Macaca fascicularis: one gene and its partner. The protein of the gene in region 2 binds, or shares a complex with, the protein of the main gene of each other region. Links are inferred from orthologs where the notes say so. Each region holds a gene or a part of one and is shown on either strand. Other genes may lie near its edges. The genes, in order: HSPB8 and BAG3.

What was found.
Region 1: BAG3 (region 2) and HSPB8 share a complex: the UniProt entries of both Homo sapiens proteins name them as parts of the chaperone-assisted selective autophagy (CASA) complex. The link is inferred for Macaca fascicularis from reciprocal best matches to the Homo sapiens genes BAG3 and HSPB8.

Annotation. Positions count from the first base shown.
Region 1 is NC_088385.1:126,176,793-126,181,287, reverse strand, and holds the start of HSPB8 (heat shock protein beta-8), read right to left. Parts: upstream 3,050-4,495; 5' UTR 2,678-3,049; coding exon 2,311-2,677; intron 1-2,310. UniProt on the Homo sapiens protein: Involved in the chaperone-assisted selective autophagy (CASA), a crucial process for protein quality control, particularly in mechanical strained cells and tissues such as muscle. Displays temperature-dependent chaperone activity.
Region 2 is NC_088383.1:128,663,140-128,667,628, reverse strand, and holds the start of BAG3 (BAG family molecular chaperone regulator 3), read right to left. Parts: upstream 2,921-4,489; 5' UTR 2,625-2,920; coding exon 2,445-2,624; intron 1,926-2,444; exon of another isoform or gene 1-1,925. UniProt on the Homo sapiens protein: Co-chaperone and adapter protein that connects different classes of molecular chaperones including heat shock proteins 70 (HSP70s), e.g. HSPA1A/HSP70 or HSPA8/HSC70, and small heat shock proteins (sHSPs), e.g. HSPB8.

The DNA of each region.
Region 1 (4,495 bases), on a different chromosome or scaffold from region 2:
ACAAGGACAGAAGGAATGGTGATAATCGTTCTGTTTACAGAATGCCAGCCAAGCACTATTATTAGCTCCATTTTATAGACACTCTGCATATGTGATCATAGATAGTCTGTATATGTTTAATCTTTCCTACACTCTTGCAGGACAGATAGTATTATCATCCCCATTCTGCAGATAGGAGAAATGAGGCTCAGAGGGATGAGAAGACTTTCTTGTCCACATCCATCATGCTAGTGAACAGCAGTGCTGGGATCTGAACCCAGGTTTCAAAGAGAATCTATTATTCATTATTTATTGGGGCCTTCCTGGATGCCTGGCATTATAACAACAACGATGGCAATAATACTACTAATTCCTTGTGTTCCAGGTCGTAGAAATGTGAAAGGAAAATAAATCTTGGGGCCCCCAAATCGCTAAGCTAAAGGGAAAAGTCAAGCTGGGAACTGTTTAGGGCCAACCTACCCCCCATTCTATTCAAAGTCAGCCCTCTGCTCACTGACATAGATGCATAGCTGCTTGCCTTCTTTGGAAAGGCTAATCAGAAACTCAAAAGAACTATTTGTCTCTCAGCTACCTGTGACCTGGAAAACCTCTCCCTACTTCAAATCTTCCTGCCTTTGCTTCAAGTTGTCCTGCCTTTCCAGATGGAACCAATGTACTTCTTACATATATTGATTGATGTCTCATGTCTCTCTAACATGTGTAAAACTGAGCTGTGCCCAGACCACCTTGGGCATGTGACAGGAGGACTTCCTGAAGTTGTGTCATGGGCATGTCCTCAGCCTGGGCAAAATAAACTTCCTAAATGAACTGAGATATGTCTCAGATTTTCTGGGTTCACAGGTAGGTACACATTGTACAGCATCACCTCATTTAATACAACAATCTTTACGGTATAACCATTTGAACCCTAATTTCCAGATGAGGAAACAAAACAAGCACAAAGATGTAAAGTAATTTGCACATCCTGCTGGTTAGAGTTGGAGCCAGTTTCGGAACTCGTGCCTGGCTCCCAGCCAACTCAGAGATCTGGCTGACCCTGTCAGCAGCACGTGGCCCCAGCAAGTCTCCCAGCCCACCACACCCGCTGGAGCCTCTGATGTTTATAATTCTGCCATGACTGGCTTGAAACTCCCCCTGAACATTGCCGGGGCTTGTTCCTGCCCAGCCTGTGTTTGCAATGGCTTTGACTGATTTTCTGGAAGGCAAGCCTCTGCCGGGAACACATTCTTTTTAATGGAGCGGGAGGGAAGGAAAAGAAAGCTTTTTCTGCTGCCCAGCTTAACAGGGGCTGAGCTTCCTGTCTTCGCTCTTTCTTCCCCCTTGTATGTTTCTTTCTCCCAGGGTGGGATGTGGCTGTGAGAGCCCTGAGCCTAAAGCTGTGGATAGGCCCAGTCCCTACTCCACTCCTATTGCTGACTCATGGCATGACTGTGAACAAGTCCCACCTAGGCCTCAGCCTCCTCAACTGCAAGATGGGCCTAGACACCCCTGCTACTCTGGACTTGACGGAGGGTGATTTTGGGGAAGAAGTATAAGAATGTCAGCCCAGCCCTTGGCACCTAGCAGGTGCTCAGTAAATCATTCCTTCTTTCTGGCCTCCTAATTCCCAGACAGCCTGAGTCTGAATCTTTGATGCCCTTGAACAAGTTACATTAATCTCTCCATACCTCAGTTTCCTCATCTGCAAAAAAATAAGAAGATAAACAGTACCCACCTCCTCTGGTGGTTGTGTTAGCTGAGATATGATAGGCAACAGTATTTAGCAAAGTGCTGAGCACATAGTTAGCACTCAGAGTTACCAGTTAGTGTTACTACAATTACTGGTAAGCCTCAGTTTCCTTGTCTGGGACAAGGAGAGGTGTTTCACTGGAAACCAGTTGTGGATATTAACACTATCATTGCTCAGCCTTAACGTGAACTTCTAGACCCTGTGTTGTGATGCTGGAGTGCATGAAATCCCATTTCTTCTTTGTTTTTTAATTTTTTGGTATCTGTTTAACCTGTTCTTTATATTAAATGCCCTCTGTCAAAATACCCAACGTGGTTTCTATTTTCCTGTCTGTACTCTGATTGATCAGCACCCCAAGGCCCCAGTAGCTGAGTCAGGCAGGTTAAGATCTCTGCTGGGAGCTGGGAGAGAAGTTTTCCATAAAGATAACTTTGCGGGCTGCATTCCTGAGCCCTGAGGTCACCTGTGTCACACTGTCCCAGCGTCTGCTCTCAGGAAACTTTTCTCCTGGCTATTCCCAGGGCTGAGGCCTACTCCCCCGCCCCACCCCCCCTCCCGCCGACCTCCTACCCCTGACTTACCAGACACCTCCACATACCCATCTTTGGTCTTCACCATCAACTCCTCTGGCTTGAAGCTGTGCACATTCACACACACTTTCCAGGGCTCCCCAGGGAAGGGCGGGGGGGTCCGGCCCTCGGCAGGTACCCCAAACCTGGCGGTGGCAGTGGGGCCCCGGGGCACCATGCCAGACCTTAGGGTGCCTGGCCAGGCGGAGGAGAGACGAGGCAGAGCCCAGTCGGGCCAAGAGGCCGTCAAGTCGTCTGGGAAGGGGTCCATGCCAAAGCCATCATCCAGCAGGCGAGAGGAGAGGGGAGAGTCCCGGAAGGGGTCTCGGCGCAGGCGGCTTGGGTAGTGGCAGGAGAAGGGCATCTGACCATCAGCCATGGTGGCTGCTGAGCTCAGAGGGAAACAGAGGCTCAGAGAGACAGAACCACCTGCCCAAGGTCACTCAACAAGGTGGTGTGGCTGGGCTAGCTTATTCTTCAGCTTCCGAAAATGCTGCTTTTCTGCAGGGAGAAGCAGAACCAACCACTGCCAGGGACGGTTGTGCCCCCTCGGCTGGGGTCCCAGACCCCAAAGGTGACCCCCAGGCAGGTCCAGCAGAATCCCAGAGGGCCCCTCTCCTCACTGCCTCACGACAGACCAGCAAGCCACCGTCCTCCCAGGCTGCCCAGGCTGGCAGCCAGAGCCGCTGAGGTCTAGAGCGGAGCCAGGAGCTTAATAAACCCAGGGCACACGCGCCTAGAAACTTCTTCTGGCTCCTCCTGGGCTGCAAGCCTTCTATTTATTTGCTGCTGGAGACTGGAGGCGGGTTTTGCAAGCGTCTCCTGTCACAGGAATATTCGGAGGTGATGAACCAGCCCCGGAGAATCCGCGGAGGGAACAGCTGGGCTGTGGGGGGAGCTGGGAGGGGCCGCGTCCAAGTTCAACCAGCCTCTCTGGACACTCTCTCCTCCCCTGGCCACTCCGCTCAGCTCCGCCCTCCGCTTGCTCCCGGCGCTGGAGCCGCCCTCCCGGAGAGGCGCACTAAGGCCTGGCTATTAATAACCCCTAGCCTGGCTGAGGGCTCAGGTCACCCTCTGGAAATACCTTCCCCAGAGCGTGTCGTATCCTGCCTTTCCCCTGGGGACCTGCAGAAAGGGAAGAGAGAGACATTAGCCCAGTGGATTTGAAGGATGTCCCTGGGTTGGAATCCCCAGTTACAAGGTGGCCAAGCTCCTAAAGCCTCAACGCCCTCTGGGGAGAGCGGTAAAGAAAAAACAAAAAATTATACATATATATATGTATTCATATGACACTTGTCAAAGTATGATAAGCAAGACTTTACTGGGCAGGGAAACTTTCTCCATAGATGTAAGGACCCCCGCAATGGGATTTTGCAGTGAGGGAGAAAGATTAGATTTGATTCCCAGTAGGTCATAGGTAAGTGGGAATTTGTAGGCAAGAAGCAGGTGGGGTGGGGGTGGGATCAGCGAATGGAAAATTACTAGGAGGAAAGTCCAGGGATCAGAGGGATTCAGGCTCAGCTAACCTAAGAGGATGCTTGCTGAAGACAGGCCAGGGTGCTCAGACGTCATCTGGGGGATGGTGGAGGATGAGGAAACTAATCAGATATCGAGGGTGATCAGACATCGAAGATGGGTGATTGCTGCTAAACAGACTTAGCAGAGTTCACGCCAAAACTGAATTTTTCTTTCTTTCTTTCTTTCTTTTTTTTTTTTTTGAGACGGAGTCTCACTCTGTCCCCTAGGCTAGAGTACAGTCGTGCCATTTCGACTCACTGCAACCTCTGCCTCCCAGGTTCAAGCGATTCTCCTGCCTCAGCCTCCCGAGTAGCTGGGATTACAGGCACCGCCATCATGCCCAGCTAATTTTTGTGTATTTTAGTAGAAATGGGTTTCACCATCTTGGCCAGGCTGGTCTTGAACTCCTGACCTCATGATCCACCTGCCTCGGCCTCCCAAAGTGCTGGGATTACAGGCATGAGCCTCCTCGCCTGGCCCAAAACTGAATTTTTATAAGGAACCTCACAGATGGGCTTAGGAGAAGATTCAGAAATCTGATTAATGTTTGGTCAAGCAAAGCATCTTTATAGGCAGTAACATTATTCCCAGGCACCTCCAAATTGTCAGTTTTCCTCCTTATAAATGGATGTAACAGTAGTCAATTCACAGATATGCCATGAGGAATACATGAGGTAAT
Region 2 (4,489 bases):
TTTCCTCTTGAAAATGATGATGCTCACACGGGCCTCAGCTCAGCTCCTCCAAAGCCACCCTTTGTTTTATGCAAGGGCCCTTTTCTCATGATGCATTGAGAAGCCCATTCCAAATACAAAATGATATTCTAGGATTCTCCACTACATTTAGTCTCCAGCAAGGTGTAATTCACACAAGTGCAACCAGATATTGTGTGCGTCTAAGAACAGGGTTGAAAGCAATGAAGCACAAACAGCTAATGGGCTGAATGTTAGTTTTCTCCTTAAGTTTTGGTGCCATGCTGACAAGTCTCAAGTCATTCACTTCGTAAAGAGAACTCTTTTCTTGAGTTGATGACGTCCCATCATCAAAATCCAAGCAACCACAGCACAGAGGTCAGTGACCCAATAACTTGGTGGCCAGGAGGGCACAAAGATAATCAGGTATTCTAGCCTGCATGCTTCAGTTTCACAAAACATTCACTTCCAACTTCTAACAGACACACCACCTCTTACTAGAACTTTCCTGACATTAGTTCTCTCCCTGTAATTGGTACTAGCTGGATGACCTTCAAAGTCACACCTGAATTCTCTGGGTTTTTCAGAAAATAAGAGATCTTCTAACTAAGAGATCTTCAAGGACCTTTCAACTTAAAAATTTTGACTATGAAATTTTCAAAGAAACCTTTCCAGCATCAGACTTCTGATGTAATAGTTCTTACTTTTTATTTATTGAGAAGAATAATGGCAGCTAAACCTGCTTTTTTTCTTTTAATAAGGTTTATGAAACCACAGCCTAACCCATGCACCAGGTGGGTACAGGAATATCTCAACTTGCTGGGTAAGTTTCATGCTGAGAACAAAGTGCTGGGAATGTCTATGTTCAAACTTGATCTTCACTCACAACAAAGGCTGCCAGCAGATACCACTGTCCCTATGTCCACAGGAAGAAGGCCTCAAAATAATAGTTGCAAACCACACTAAAGATCAGGTACATCCACGCAGACGCCTAAGAAAGGTGGTTTGAAATGAGTGTCAGTTTCACCCAAAAATGGGCTGAACACACACACAAAAAGGTATATGCAACTGTGCCCACCCCAGCTAATTACAGCCTCTTGTATTAATTTTCAAGAATAAATACACAAGTAATCTCTCGTAAATGTAAACTGCTGCCTGTACAGTGTCTCACTGTTGGGCACCGGAGTTTTATCAATATTGTTAAAACAAAAAGTGCATTAAAATGAAGGGAAATAATACAGGTCTTTCTTCTAAAATAATGGGTTACAAAGTATTTTTAATTTGGTGAGTTTTAAAATCTTCAAAATAATTTACCAGCTCTTTGCTGCTTTTATCTTGCCCAGACGGCAGTAACAATTACGCTTTAAGTATAACATTTTTTTTAAAAAAACTTTTTATTTTGAAAGCTCAAATTTATATAAAATTGAACGAATAGTATAACTATGATTTTTGAAAATTAACAGACTCATTCCAAATTTACGTTTTCAAATTTCATGCTCTTGGGGATTAGGAATATCGTTGCATATATGTAAATGAGACATACTTCTGCTGTATTCCCAAGAGTATCATTACTCAGTTATTTGTGTACTGGTAACAAATTCTAAGTATTTTAATACCATAACAAGGCAGGAAGCGAATGCCATTATAAATATACACGTATCATTCTCTTTCCAGTGTGAGGCAATGTGGTAAGGCAATGGCCAACTGTAAGTCTCAGATCTCTAGTTTAGAAACTGCTGGGGAGAAGTGCACCCTCTTTTATATTTTACAAGTCATACTAGGATACATTCGTATTGAAAGCACTTTCAAACAATAATACAATTTTAATTTAAAATACACACACACGCGCGCGCACATATATATGAATGTTTTGACACCAGCCTCCTGAGTCATTGGGTGCCTAAGATGGGACAGCAAACAAGATACCCCTCAACCAAGTTGGAGAACTTGAGCGGTAAAATTCCTCCCAAAAACCACCATCCAAGCTTGCGAGGGTCCCCCTCGAGTCCGCGGTCAGCGGGGTGCGCCGCGGGTCCCGGGACCGGAGGCCGAGCCGGCAGCAGTGGCCGCGGCGGGCCGGAGCCTCCGGAGCTGACCAGGCCGGCCGCCCCCTCCGAGCCCGGGAGCGTGAGGCCAGCGTCGGACACGCGGCCCTCCGCCCCGAGTCGAGCCGTGGACGGCACCGGACCCACTGCGGGGTCGCTTCCCGGACCACCGGATCGCGGGGCCTCCTCTCGCCCCGACTCCTGTAAAGGGCGGGTCCGGAGCGGGGACTCGTCCGGGAGCACCGGGAGTGTGTGGCGGGGCGCGGAGCCGGTGTCCGCCCGCAAGGGGCCTTCGCCGGCCACCGGGCCCCGCCGCCTGGCGTCCCCCCGGCCCAACCCACTCCCCGCCGCCTGCCGTCGAGGTGGCGCCGCCGACCAGGGCGGGCCGCGGGCCCAGCTCACCTTGGGGCCCTCAGAGGGCACGCGCGGGTCGTTCCACGTCGTGGTACGGCTGTTGTGGTCCACGAAAAAGGGCCAGCCGGTCTGCGGGTCGATCTTGATCTCCCAGCCGGGGGGCAGGGGGTCGCGGTCACCGTTGCCGGACGCCACCTGCATCATGGGCGAGTGGGTGGCGGCGCTCATGCTGGGTCGGGGTCTGCCCGCCGGGGCGCGGGTGTGGGGCGCGGGCTCCGGGCGCCGAGTCTCTGGCCGGGCCGCCGCCGTGGGCCCCTCTCTGCCGCCGACGTGTCCGGGAAGCCGGCGCCGGGCACCTTTATGAATTAAAGGCGGGGGTGACGTGGCCAGAGAGGGGTGGAAGTGTCTGGAAATAGCCTCCTCGGTGCCAGAGGGGAAGGAGGCGATAAAGGGAGGTAGCAACTGGCCGGCTAGAAACTTCTGGTCCAGTCCAGAGAAGTTGGCCGCGGCCCGGGGTTGGACGCGGAGCTCCGCCCTGAGTCATCGGCTATAATCGCGGCGGGCGGGGCTGAGGGGCCGGGGCGGGGCCTCTCCCCGCTCGCCCCTCCCCCACCTTCTCCCGCCCCTCCCCCCGCCGTCTCGTGCGCGTGCCCGGGCCGGAGTCGCCGGGGGCGGGCGCGGGCGCGTCTTCGGGGTCCGCCTGCGGGTGGGGCGCCGGAGGAGCGGTACTGGGGGCTTACTCCGTGGCCCCGGGAGGGTTTCGGCTTTCGCACTCGCTCTCTCCCTCTCCTTTGCGCCGACTGAGTGTTCCTGGGGCTGGAGCCCGTGCTCCCCGTGCCTGCCGCCCCTCTTTCCTGTACAAAGCCATCTCGCCCACCCCCACCCCACCCCCATCCCCCAACCCCCCCATATATGATAGCCGGGGACCATGAGGGCTGTCCGGGAGGAGCGCGGGGACGCTCATCTGACACCAGAAGGAAGCCAGGGAGAAAATGGAAGTTAGTGCAAACTCACCTGCCTTCCTTTGGAAACTTCAAGAAAAAAAGAGATTGTGTCAGCTGATGGCTTTTAGTCTCCTAGACTAAAAAGAAACTTTCGTTGCGGTGAACAGCTTTAAAGAAAAATCACATTTTCTTGGATTCGGATCTTTTTTATGGTAGAAGTTGGTTCTTGCAGTCTTACATCTTGACCCTCATTTGGGAAGTAAAGACCGAACCTAACCATGACATTTTTTGTTTGGTTTATTCAATTGCACTTGTAACCTGTCAAAGGAGAAAATTACAACACATTTAAAGATCTTTTCTGTTGTTGTTGTTGCTGATTCTCATTTTTTAACTTTTGTTGTTAAAGATCTTAATTTTATTTGTGATTCTAGAATTGGGCAACACCTCCATTAAATTAGAATAAGTGCTCCCATGAGCTGAGCAGAAGAGGTTGATTTTATAGACAGAGAAGGGCTGAAGAAAGCAGAAACAAAGAACCAAGACTGGATTGGTTGTTTCAAAATTACTTTCCTTGTAAGGAGGGGACAGCGAGACAGAATCATAGAAAAATAACTGATGAGGGCTTGCCACCATGGCTCATGCCTGTAACCCCAGCACTTCGGAAGGCCAAAACTGGAGGACTTCTTGAGTCCCGGAGTTTGAGACCAGCCGGAACAATACAGTAAGACCCCCATCTCCACAAAAACAAAAAATAAGCCAGGTGCAGTGGCTTATGCCTGTAGTCCCAGCTGCTCAGGAGGCTGATGTGGGAGGCTCATTTGAGCCCAGGAGTTTGAAGCTGCCATGAGCTGTGATTGTGCTTTTCATGCCAGCCTAAGCGACAGAGCAAGACCCTGTCTCTTTAAAAGAAAGAGAGAGAAAGAAAAAGAGAAATGACTGGTCATCACCAGGTTACATACATACAGATTACTATACAATTGACCCTTAACATGGGTTTGAACTGAGCAGGTCCACTTGTACATGGATGTTTTTCAATAAAAGTTACACCGAGTGTGCTTGCCTCTCCTGTCTCCCCTTCCACCTCCTCCACCTCTTCTGCTGCTGCCACCCTTGAGACAGCAGAATCAACCCCTCCTCTTCCTTCCCCTC